3 linked regions of the Caenorhabditis elegans genome follow. The protein of the gene in region 2 purifies or fractionates together with the protein of the main gene of each other region. This does not show direct contact. Each region holds a gene or a part of one and is shown on either strand. Other genes may lie near its edges.

What was found.
Region 1: the proteins of unc-45 (region 2) and Y43F8C.13 fractionate together in Caenorhabditis elegans (co-fractionation; one large-scale study listed by BioGRID). This does not show direct contact.
Region 3: the proteins of unc-45 (region 2) and cap-1 fractionate together in Caenorhabditis elegans (co-fractionation; one large-scale study listed by BioGRID). This does not show direct contact.

The regions. Positions count from the first base shown.
Region 1 is NC_003283.11:19,695,640-19,699,394, forward strand, and holds the start of Y43F8C.13 (Nucleoside hydrolase), read right to left. Parts: upstream 1,760-3,755; 5' UTR 1,748-1,759; coding exon 1,717-1,747; intron 1,219-1,716; coding exon 858-1,218; intron 85-857; coding exon 1-84. Other genes in the region: ani-3 (Anillin-like protein 3), read left to right, coding at 2,144-2,203, 2,262-2,439, 3,375-3,687.
Region 2 is NC_003281.10:489,610-493,364, forward strand, and holds the start of unc-45 (UNC-45/Cro1/She4 central domain-containing protein), read left to right. Parts: upstream 1-1,937; 5' UTR 1,938-1,939; coding exon 1,940-2,028; intron 2,029-2,079; coding exon 2,080-2,207; intron 2,208-2,253; coding exon 2,254-2,380; intron 2,381-2,797; exon of another isoform or gene 2,798-3,226; intron 3,227-3,755.
Region 3 is NC_003282.8:7,228,556-7,232,310, forward strand, and holds the start of cap-1 (F-actin-capping protein subunit alpha), read right to left. Parts: upstream 1,669-3,755; 5' UTR 1,668-1,668; coding exon 1,587-1,667; intron 1,475-1,586; coding exon 1,349-1,474; intron 1,295-1,348; coding exon 854-1,294; intron 690-853; coding exon 525-689; intron 184-524; coding exon 148-183; 3' UTR 1-147. Other genes in the region: D2024.4 (DUF19 domain-containing protein), read left to right, coding at 2,693-2,798, 2,857-3,052, 3,352-3,525, 3,573-3,714. UniProt on the Caenorhabditis elegans protein: F-actin-capping proteins bind in a Ca(2+)-independent manner to the fast growing ends of actin filaments (barbed end) thereby blocking the exchange of subunits at these ends.

The sequences.
Region 1 (3,755 bases), on a different chromosome or scaffold from region 2:
ATGATTACCAGCCGGGATGGGTACGTCGAAAACTCCTCGCAGAGTTGGAGAGCAATCGCCACGTTTGTGAGGGGACCGATGGTTCTGAAAAATGGTTTTGTTGAAAATTTAGGGAAAATTGAGCAAAAATAGATTAAAATCGAAATTTGACACCCAGAATAGCTCGGCGTAGGCGAAAATGTAGGAGGACTGTATGGATACTGTAGGAGTACCGTAGGACTTTAAAAGGGTAATGTTGAGGTACTATAGGGGTAATGTAGGGGTACTGTAGGAGTACTGTAGGGGTACTGAAGCGGTACTGTAGGGTTTCTGTAGGGGGTCTATTGGGGTAGGGTAGGGAAACTGTCCAGGTACCAGGGATACTGTAGGGGTACTGTAGAAATACTGTAGGTATACAGTTATGGTACCATAGGGCTTTAGTGGAATTAGTGTAGGGTTACTGTAGGGTTACTGTGTGTGTACTGTGGGGGGAACAGTAGGGGTACTGTAACACTATTGTGTGAGTACCTGTTCGGTTACCAGAGGTACTGTAGGGTTATGTAGGGGATCTGTTGGGGTACTGTCGGGGTACTATAGGGTTACTGTAGAGTTGCTGTAGGGATACTGTAGTGTTACTGCAAGGGCACAGTGGGGAACTGTGGGGATACAGTAACACTACTGCGTGAATACTAGAGGGGAACTGTCCGGGGTACCAGGGATAGTGCAGGGGTACTGTGGGGTACTGTAGGGATAGTGCAGGGGTACTGTGGGGTACTGTAGGGATAGTGCAAGGGTACTGTAGGTCGCTGTGGGGGTACTGTAGGGGTACTGTAGGGATGCGGTGGGGGTACAGAAGGGTTACTGTAGCCTCAACTTACACCAAAGTGGCATCCCGATTCTCTCTCAAAATATCGATTAAAGCAAGTGACGCATGCTTCCCCTCCCCCTCAAAATCGGATCTTTCGACTTTCGGGAACTCCTCCGGCTTATCACCGATCCCATCGATCCCGAAAAAATCGGATACGGTATCATCCTTCGGCAGCGACAAAATCGATTTAGCCGCACCCTTGTACACTGGGATATTGCTCCGATCGTTGGCTCGGATGGTTCTTTTGATGTTCGCACAGGCTTGATCTACTGTCACACAGCCGTGGACTGCGGTGAATGCGAGAATTTCGGCTTTTGGGTGCTGCAAGGCTAGGGAGATGGCTCGCACGTCGTCGCTTACACCGTCAGAGTCTGAAAATCGATTAATTTTTGTTTTTAAAGCTTAAAATTTGGTAAACTTTATGTAAAACTTTAAAAATCGATAAAACTCGCTAAGCAAGCGCGCTCCAGTGAACTAGTCCGTTTTCCGACGCTAATTTCAAATTTTCAAGTGTTTTTTGACGAAAATAAGTGGAAAATTTGAAGACTTCTTGTTTTTTTTTAAATTAGAATTCTCGTTTATCATCTGAAAATCCGAAAAAATCGATTATTGAAGCGTCTAGACTCGTTTTTTTAAATCGCCAAGCAATGCAATCACGCTCCAATGACAAACTCAGTTTTCTGGCGGGAAGCTCGAATTTTCCAGTGTTTTAACGAAAATCTTCGGAATTAATACGTTTTCGGTGTATTTGAACGTAGAAAAGTAGAAATTTTAAAAAAGAAAAGAAAAAACTCGAGTTTTAACGAATTTTATAGAATTTTTTACTCAAAAATTGGTTTAAATTTGTTTTTATTCTCCGTTTAACTCACCAATGACCAGCTTAACCTTGTCCACAGTCATGTTGTCTTTTTTCTGAAGAGCGTAATGTTATTAAAGTGAAAAAATTAAACTTAAAATAACTAAATAAATATATGAATTATTTCTCGTCGCAAAAAACGCAACATTTGGGCAAAAATCAATCTGTCACCTGAATAATGCACACAATCTTATCATTTTTTATCAATTCTTATCGCATTTTCTTCGATTATTCTCGCTTTTTCGCCGTAATTCCGCATAAATGCGATAATTCGCGAAAAAACTACGGTTTTTCTTAAAGGCGCATAGCTCAAAACTTCAAATAGGTCTCGCCACGAATTCAGTGATGTGAGGGATTCGATGGAATTTTGAATTTTTAAAATCGATTTTTGCGATTTCTAGACGGTTTTTCGCCGTTTTTTCGGAGATTTTTGACGAAAAATGGAGAATTTCGACGGAAAATCGATGCCGCCAACTCCGGTGCCAATCGGATCAAGTCAGGTAGGGCAAAAATCCGGAAAAATCGATACAATTCACAAAAAATCCGAATTTTTTCCAGTTCTACCGCTGGATGCCGCACCCGATCGTCGATACACCACCGTCAGATGCTACGTGGCGCAAACCGGTGCCACGCGGCCGAATTCGTGATCTCGTCGCCGCGTTCGATCAGTGCTCCGGCATGCTGGAGCAGAAGCCCCCACCTCCGCCCACGCAAAGGGTTGAAAGTCTTGAAAATGGTGCGGAAATCAATCGATAATTGAGAAAATCGATAGGGGAATGCGAAAAAACTGGAAAAAAATGGGGAAAATTGAGAAAAATTGAGGAAAATGAGAAAAAAAAACCATTTCCCCCGGTATTTCTCCTATTCAAATGCAAATTTATAAATTCACATGTATTGTTAATTTATTTGCACTGTCAACACACCAACTATACAGTTTTTACATGGAAAATTGATTTTTTAGAAAAAACAATCGGAAAATCCCAAAAGTTTTGGGAAAAATCCAGAAAAAATGGGATTTTTCGCAAGTTTTCGGATGAAAATTATGGTTTAAATTGAATTTTGAGTGGAAATTTGCAAAATTGGACTTTTTCAGAGAAAATAGTTATAATTTGCAAAAAACTAATTTTTAGAAATTTTTTTTTCCAAAAATTCAAAAAAATTTTTTTTTTCAAAATTTTCATTTTAATTGGCAATTTACCATTGAGTTTCTGGTGAATTTCGAAAATTTTCTCTAAAAAATCCTGAAAAAACGGAAAAACCTCTGGAAAATTCTAAATTTCCAGCAAAACCACCAAAATTGTCGGATTTTGTGTTAAAATTCTGTAATTTTCGGTGGAAAAATCGCTAAAATTTAGAATTTTGTGATTTTAAGCTAATTTTAAGGAATATTGTGAAAAAAATTAAATTTTTTAAGAATTAAAAAAAATTTCAAAAAATTTTTTTTTTTTTCAAAAATTAAAAAAAAATTTTTTTTCGAAATATTCACTTTTTATTGGGAATTTTACGAATTTTGAGCGAATTTTAAAAAAATTCCAAAAAACGATAATTTTTTTGCAAAAAAAATTTTTTTTCGAAAAAAAAATTCAAGTTTTTCCAACTTTTCACATTTTTCTCAAAAATGATCTTCAAAATTCGAAATTTCCCGCCAAAAATAACCCATTTTTCTTCCAGAACACATTGCTCCACCGCCAACTTCAAAATCCTCCAAAATTCCGGAAATTCTCGCCAAAAAATCGGAAAAATACATCTCACCGTACGAAAAACGTCATTTTCATGGTCGTCGTGGCACCCAGGCTGTCGTTTTTAATTCGAATAATGCTCAAAATGCTCCAAATGTGGGCGGAGCCTATCCATATGGAGCCACACCGTTGAAATTGCGAAATTTGGCCCAAAAAATGGATAAAGAGGAGCTCTACGTGGCTGATGACGTTGGAATTTCCAAAAAATCTGAAAATTTCGAAAATTCCGATGATGACGTGGCAAAGTACGAAAATTTGCGGCAAAAATGCTATAAATTCGAAAAAAATTCAAATTTTGTAGCCATTTTTGACA
Region 2 (3,755 bases):
TTTCTATTTAAAAAGTTTACAATATGCTAAAAATCTAGACAAACTTTAACTTTTCATATAAATTTGGCGGGAAACTCGAATTTAAATTTTTTTTTTTCAAAATATTTAAACAATTTTTTTTTTCTATTTAGAAGTTCAAATATGAGTTATTTGAAATTTCTTTTTTCTAAAAATTTTGCACGAAATTCAAATTCATGGAGTTCGCTCTGGTTCAGTGGCTGGTCTTCTAATGAATTATGTTTGTTTTTTCGAACATCGAAAGGAAATAAGCGGGACTCATTTCATTGCTTCCTCCTTCATTGCTTCCTCCTTTTCTCCCTTTCGAATTGTACTACGAGACCCCCTTTGTGCATTATTATTTTACCCCCATTTTCCACCCCAAGACAGTCTCAAGTTATAGGAAATCTTCACATGATTTGCTCACAGTGCATGCACACAAAAAGTTATAAGATCTGAAGAGAGACGCAGACAGATTATTCAAACAGCAAGGGCTCCCACCACCGGAGAGGATCTGCGGATTCCGCCGTAATTTTACACTATCCGTCGGGGGCCGGACACTACTACACTGCCCTTTCCGCTGAACAGACGTTTCTATTCGTTTTTCATCGATTTTTGCATAAAGTTCGGGTTTAGTGGGTTTAGTAAACCTAAGAATTTCTAGGTTTTTTATGAATTTTAGGTCCTTTTTTTGAATTTATATAATTTATTTTAATGTAAATACTATGAAATTTTTATTTTGATTTTTTCCGAAAAAAAAATATCAAAAATTCCAGAAATATTTCAGCCGACCCATAGCCGCCGGGTATAGCACTAGAGCCTCACGGCAGTACATATTTATTTAGAAACTCTAGTATTCCACGTGAAAAAATATATTTAAATATACCAGAAATTTTGAAGGAGTTGACGACTACAGTACTCCTTAAAGGCACACGTTTTTCTGATTTCAAGAAAATTTATCGGTTCGTGCCGTAGTTTTTGAGAAATCCGAGTGCCGTAGTTTTTGAGAAAAAATTTTCCTTGTGGTTGCCCATATAATTATTTTCATGACGAAAATCTGAAACGATGTTTTATGGGTCTGCTAAATATTTATCATACCCAACTTTGGTCTGCTAAATATTTAGCATACCCAACTTTGGTCTGCTAAATATTTAGCATACCCAACTTTGGTCTGCTAAATATTTAGCAGACCCATTTGGGATATTGAGTTTATCCTGAAATGATGATTTCCTTTGTTTAAATCCACTCAAATTCCGTTTTTTCTCTGAAATCCTCTAATCCCCTGAAAAAAACCTAAAAATATATTTTTTTTACTATATAAATTCGGATTTTTCCAGAAACCCCACATATTTTCGACTTTTCCCGAACTTTTCCCACTCGTTATCTCTATTTCTCTTCTATTCCCTAGGATATCTCTCCCGCCTGGGAGCTTTTCGAAAGCTCCAGAGCACCTGGGCGGAGCTCCCGCGGCAACTGGATTTTTTACCGTTATTCTTCATTCATTTTTCCAGGACATTAACAAATTTTCTTGCAGTGAAAATTTTTATTTCAAAAAAAAAGAAAAGAAAGTCAATTTTAGGATGTTATACATCTCCAAAATTCGTTAGTTTTAGCTTTAAAATCAAAGTTTTCATAAAAATTAAATTTGAAATCCCTCCAAAAAATAGTCTGCGCTTCACACTCTCTAACACGTGCCGGTGGAGCGCGCTTGCATTTTTCCTTTTTTGTTAATTTTTTTTTGCGGGAAACTTTTCGGGAAAATTACTCTAAAACTCAATAAAAACAGCTTTTAAGTGCATTTTTCTTGAAAATTAGTTTCAAAAATGATATTTTAATCAGTTTTACACCATTTTTGTCGATTTTTCCTCTTTTATCCGTCGAATTAATAGTATCTCCTGACAAAAATAATGATTTTATAGTTTTTTTTTTTTGGTTTTCAGCAATGGTTGCTCGAGTACAGACTGCGGAGGAGATCCGCGACGAGGGAAATGCTGCAGTTAAGGATCAGGATTATATAAAAGCTGATGAATTGTTGGTTTTTCTGAAATTTCAGTGGAAAACTGAAATTAAACTGATTTCCAGATACACTGAAGCTCTCCAACTCACCACTGACGAAGACAAGGCTCTTCGGCCGGTTTTGTACAGAAATCGAGCAATGGCTCGGCTGAAAAGAGACGATTTTGAAGGAGCACAATCGGATTGCACGAAAGGTTTACAAAAAACCTGGAAAATTTGCTGAAAAACCTAAATTTACAGCTCTGGAATTCGACGGGGCCGATGTAAAAGCTCTCTTCAGACGATCGCTGGCTCGTGAACAGCTTGGAAATGTTGGGCCAGCTTTTCAAGACGCAAAAGAGGCTCTGAGGCTCTCGCCAAATGATAAGTGCGTGGAAAAACTAGGCGAAAACCGATGAAAATTAAAAGAAAAATAATTTTTTCTGGCACTTTCCAGTTATATTTCAAAGTTTTTATGACCAAATTTCAGTGAAAAATGCAAAAGTTGCAAATTTTGGGTCTGCTAAATATTTAGCAGACCCAACCTCCCGAAACTGATTTTTAAAGCTAAAAATTATTAGAATTTTCAGACGTTTCTCTCCGAAATATAGCATGCCAATAGAAAAATTGACAAAAATCAAGGTTTTCTCATCGAAAATAGCAAAATAACTTTTAAAAATCTACAGAAACTCACAATTTTTGTTTAAAATGCCAACATTTATAAATTTTCTAAATATTTAGTTTTAAATTTGTAATTTTCTCACTTTTTTCTGTGAAAAAATATGCAAAATGAAACTGAAAAATCCACTAAAACATGTTTAAAAATTTATCTTGAAGAAAAACGTAGGAAATTTCAAATTTGCAGCTAAAAAATCAGCGAAAAAATTTTTTTTTCAAAATTTGAGGAGGTTGGGTATGCTAAATATTTAGCAGACCCAAGGAAAAATATTTAGCAGACCAAAGATAGGTATGCTAAATACTTAGCAGACCAAAGATAGGTATGCTAAATATTTAGCAGACCAAAGAAGGGTATGCTAAATATTTAGCAGACCCAAGGTGGGTATGCTAAATATTTAGCAGACCCAAGGAAAAATATTTAGCAGACCAAAGATAGGTATGCTAAATATTTAGCAGACCAAAGATGGATATGCTAAATATTTAGCAGACCAAAGATGGGTATGCTAAATAATTAGCAGACCAAAGATGGGTATGCTAAATAATTAGCAGACCCAAAGAAAAATATTTAGCAGACCAAAGTTGGGTATGCTAAATAATTAGCAGACCAAAGTTGGGTATGCTAAATATTTAGCAGACCAAAGTTGGGTATGCTAAATATTTAGCAGACCAAAGATGGGTATGCTAAATAATTAGCAGACCAAAGTTGGGTATGCTAAATATTTAGCAGACCCAAGGAAAAATATTTAGCAGACCAAAGATGGGTATGCTAAATATTTAGCAGACCCAAGGAAAAATATTTAGCAGACCAAAGATAGGTATGCTAAACATTTAGCAGACCCAAGGAAAAATATTTAGCAGACCAAAGATAGGTATGCTAAATATTTAGCAGACCAAAGATGGATATGCTAAATATTTAGCAGACCAAAGATGGGTATGCTAAATAATTAGCAGACCCAAAGAAAAATATTTAGCAGACCAAAGATAGGTATGCTAAATATTTAGCAGACCAAAGATGGATATGCTAAATATTTAGCAGACCAAAGATGGGTATGCTAAATAATTAGCAGACCAAAGTTGGGTATGCT
Region 3 (3,755 bases), on a different chromosome or scaffold from region 2:
ACGTCTAGTGTCCGGCCAAAGGATAAAGGAAAGTGGGAGAAATAAAGGTCGAAATTGGAGGATTTTTTGGTTTTTGGAGAGGATTAGGAAGATGATGAAGACCAGCAGACGAACTTGAAGCAAAGCGATGTGATAACGATTTTGTGATTACTTCATTTCCTGACCAATTCGGTAGGTTTGAGCCTGAATTAAAATTAATTTATTCTTTTTATTTTATCAATTCTGAAAATTTTGACATGCCTTTGTAGAGGCGCACAGATTTATTATGGTAGCCCTTGCTTAATCTTTTTCAAAGAAATTACTTCGCATTTAGAGAATTTTGTCGGCTTCATCTCTTGTTTCTGTTAAAATTCTTTTTAAATTAGTTTTCAAATCACAATTATTTTTTATTGTGTCTGCATGACAAGGGATATAAAACTGATTCGAAGCATTTGTTAACAGAAAAATAAGAAACACCGAGACCCATCTGAATAAATCTGTGCACTTTTCCGAAGGCATTCCGAAATATTGTGAAATTACGATACCTTATTCCAGTCCATCTTAGCGCGAGTAACTGGCAATTGGCGACGAAGTGCTTTGAATGTGGTATCAGACATATTAGCGTAATTCTCTTGTACAGCATTCTGATATATAGTCTCTTCCTCGGAAATGGCATGAATTATTTCTTTGGCGGTTTTGTCGAAGTCAGCCTGAAAATAGGGCTTTATATGCCAATTTTTAATTCGATTAAATAGCTCTATGAAAAATATAATTTAAATGATTCCTGTGATTTTATTTTGTTCTTCACAATTTTATGAAAAACTTTTTTTTCTATCCTTCTAAATTGGATCAATTTATGGAAAAAAAAATTTACCGAAACATTGACTTTAAGAACCGGCTCTTTCTCAGAGAACAACTGCACGTTTCCGTCTTCGTAATAATGAACTTGCGACAAAATTTTTCCTTTCATCTCCTGAGATCCTGATTTACCATCGCCAACCGGCACATTCCACTCCGAACGCCATCTTCCGTTACAGAAATTTTTTGGCTGGAATTGATGAGATTCGATGCAAATCGTGAAAACTCCGTTTCGAGCAAAAACCACTCCCGTTCCACTTTTCGCGTAATGATCATCAATATATATATCGAGTTGAGTTTGAAGAGCTTGACGCCATTGTTCGGTTATTCCAGACTCGGCTGGATGTGGTTGAAGATCTGCGGCCTCTTTACGGACGTGATCGTATTTGAAACTTTTCTTTGAAACTTCATCGTAGAAACGTCCATTACCCAAATCATTGTATGGAGTGATCAGAGTCTGAAGAAAATAATTAAATATTTGAAGAAAGTTTAAAAAATGAAAATAGTATACCTGCTTGGCAACACCATCCAACTTTACTGGCACAAATTGTCCAACGTTATATTGAGCGATAGCATTAACACATTTGTTCTTCAGAAGATCATCATTTTCCAAAAGCATCCGAACCGAATTGAATACCTGAATGGAAAGGTAAATTGACAATTGAAGTGAATTGCGAAATATAAATTTTTTGATGACTATAATATCAAGCTTGAACGAGCAATTCTCCTAAAAATCGACAAAAAATTACCTCGTTGAACTCGCCGGGTGGCGCGTGTTTAATGAAATCCGAAGCAATGCGGACCTTTTCGGCGTCACTGATCTCCGACATTCTGAACGAGAAAGAGTTATGCTTATAAACATTTTAAAAATATATTTCTATCAAATAACTAAAAAGAAATAAAGATTGACAAAATAAAAGTGGTGATTCATTGAATAAAAGAGTGAACAAAAATGAATCACAAACAGAGAAATGAGCGCATCGATTTTAGCCGTAGAGCGCGCTTGCGTTTTCGAGAGACACCACACGGAAAGTGGATAGAGATTACTTGAGATATTTAGTTTGAAATGTTTTTTATTCTTCAGCGAAAAAGAAAGCACACTAAAGCAGTTATAAAAAATGAGTAATAAATAGTCTATAAAATAAAAAGCATTTGAACCATGTTCAGAATTCAATTACATTATTTACACTTAAAATTTGTGAAAAATTCGCTGGAAGAGAGAATATGTACTAGATGTGAGAGCATTTCTAGAGAAGAAAATCTTTGAAATTTGAGAGCATGTCAATGAAAATTTGAAAGAAAATTATGTCGAAAAGCCAAGAATAACCTGTGCTACGAGAAATATTAATTATTTGCGTCTGAAATATAATTCGAGAAACACGAAATTTTGGAAGTGGTACGGTAGATTTCAGTCCAAGAAAAAAAACCGAAATTTGAACATTGCAATCTTTCAATCAATGCGACTTATATAGAAACGTTGTTCATAAAACAAACAATGCATTTTTTTCGGGAATTCCCTTCCTCTGCTTCTTAAACTGCAAAATCAAATTGATGAACCAGAAAACGCTAAGCTTCAAACTTGAAATAATAGTTCAGAATTGATCAATTAAATTGTTTAATCTGAATAAAAAACTTTGGATCTAAAAAATTCCGGTTAAATGTTTTAAAAACGTTGTTCATAATGCAAACAATTCCACTCTTTTTTCGGAAAGTGTTCGCTTCCTCTTCTTCTAATAATAGTCCGGCAACAACGGATTTGCTATATTCTAGTTGTTCGAATAACTAGGTCAAGATGATCACGATCAACTGAAAATGCTATAAAAGAAAATTGTTAGACAATTCAGAATATTCAAAGATGTTATTCAGATTCCTCATACTACTCCTAACTGTTTTAGCACTGGCAACATGCCGAAAAGTTCACATTCAAGTTAGAGAAAATGTCACACAAAGTTGTCCGAATGGTTTGTTCTTTTAAATAAAAATTAAATGGTTTTACAATTAATTTACAACCAAGTTTAGTGGATTCCGATGTTATTGACGAGAGCTCGTTGAAGATCACAATGAAAATGTTGAAGAATGATAATCCAGAGGAAGAAGATGAAGAAAAAGATGAAGTAACAATTACTGATATTAATGGAGAAACTCGCCAAATTGATTTCCCTGGATGCTATAGAGTTAAAGTCAGCTTTAAGATGCTGAGACCTATCGAGAATCCGTAAGTTAGAGCTGAAACTTAAGACTGGAGTTCATTCGTAAAATTGAATCCTGCAAATCTCTTAAAATCGTAATAGATTCCGTATTTTTCCCTATTAAACTTGCACCTCTTTACACCTCTTCGACGGGGGTTTCCCGGGTTTTTTGGTTTCATGAAAAGTGCGAACTGAACACACTTATAACATAGTTTTCTTTACTTTATTAGTGAAAACATTTTTTTTCGATAAACTAAACCGTCAAAGTAAAGCAATGCCGATAACAGTCTAATAGAAAAAAAAAATGGTACATTCTTTCTTCTAGATACATTGAAGCATTTATGCAACTTGGCCAAAACGTTCCCTGCAAATCAGAAGACGCGATTCAAAATCTTCGTGGAGTTGAGAGCATTTGTGCAAACGTAACTAGTCCATCTCAATGGTGTCCAGAGAGTTATAACTCCCAATTGAGAGAGATGCTCGGTGGTAAAACTACATGGTTGGTTTGCAATTTATATAAACTAACAATAGGAATTGGCTTTTCAGTAAATTCTGCTCTCTGTGCGAAAACGTTAAGGAAAACGTAAAAGAAAATGAGAGCAAATTGAACAAGCTTAAAAAATTTTTGAGCAACGAGGGGAAGGAGGAGTGTTCCACAACTGATAATATTCATAGATATACTTTTAAGGTATAAATAATGATATAAATTAGAATATAACAGCTTGTTTA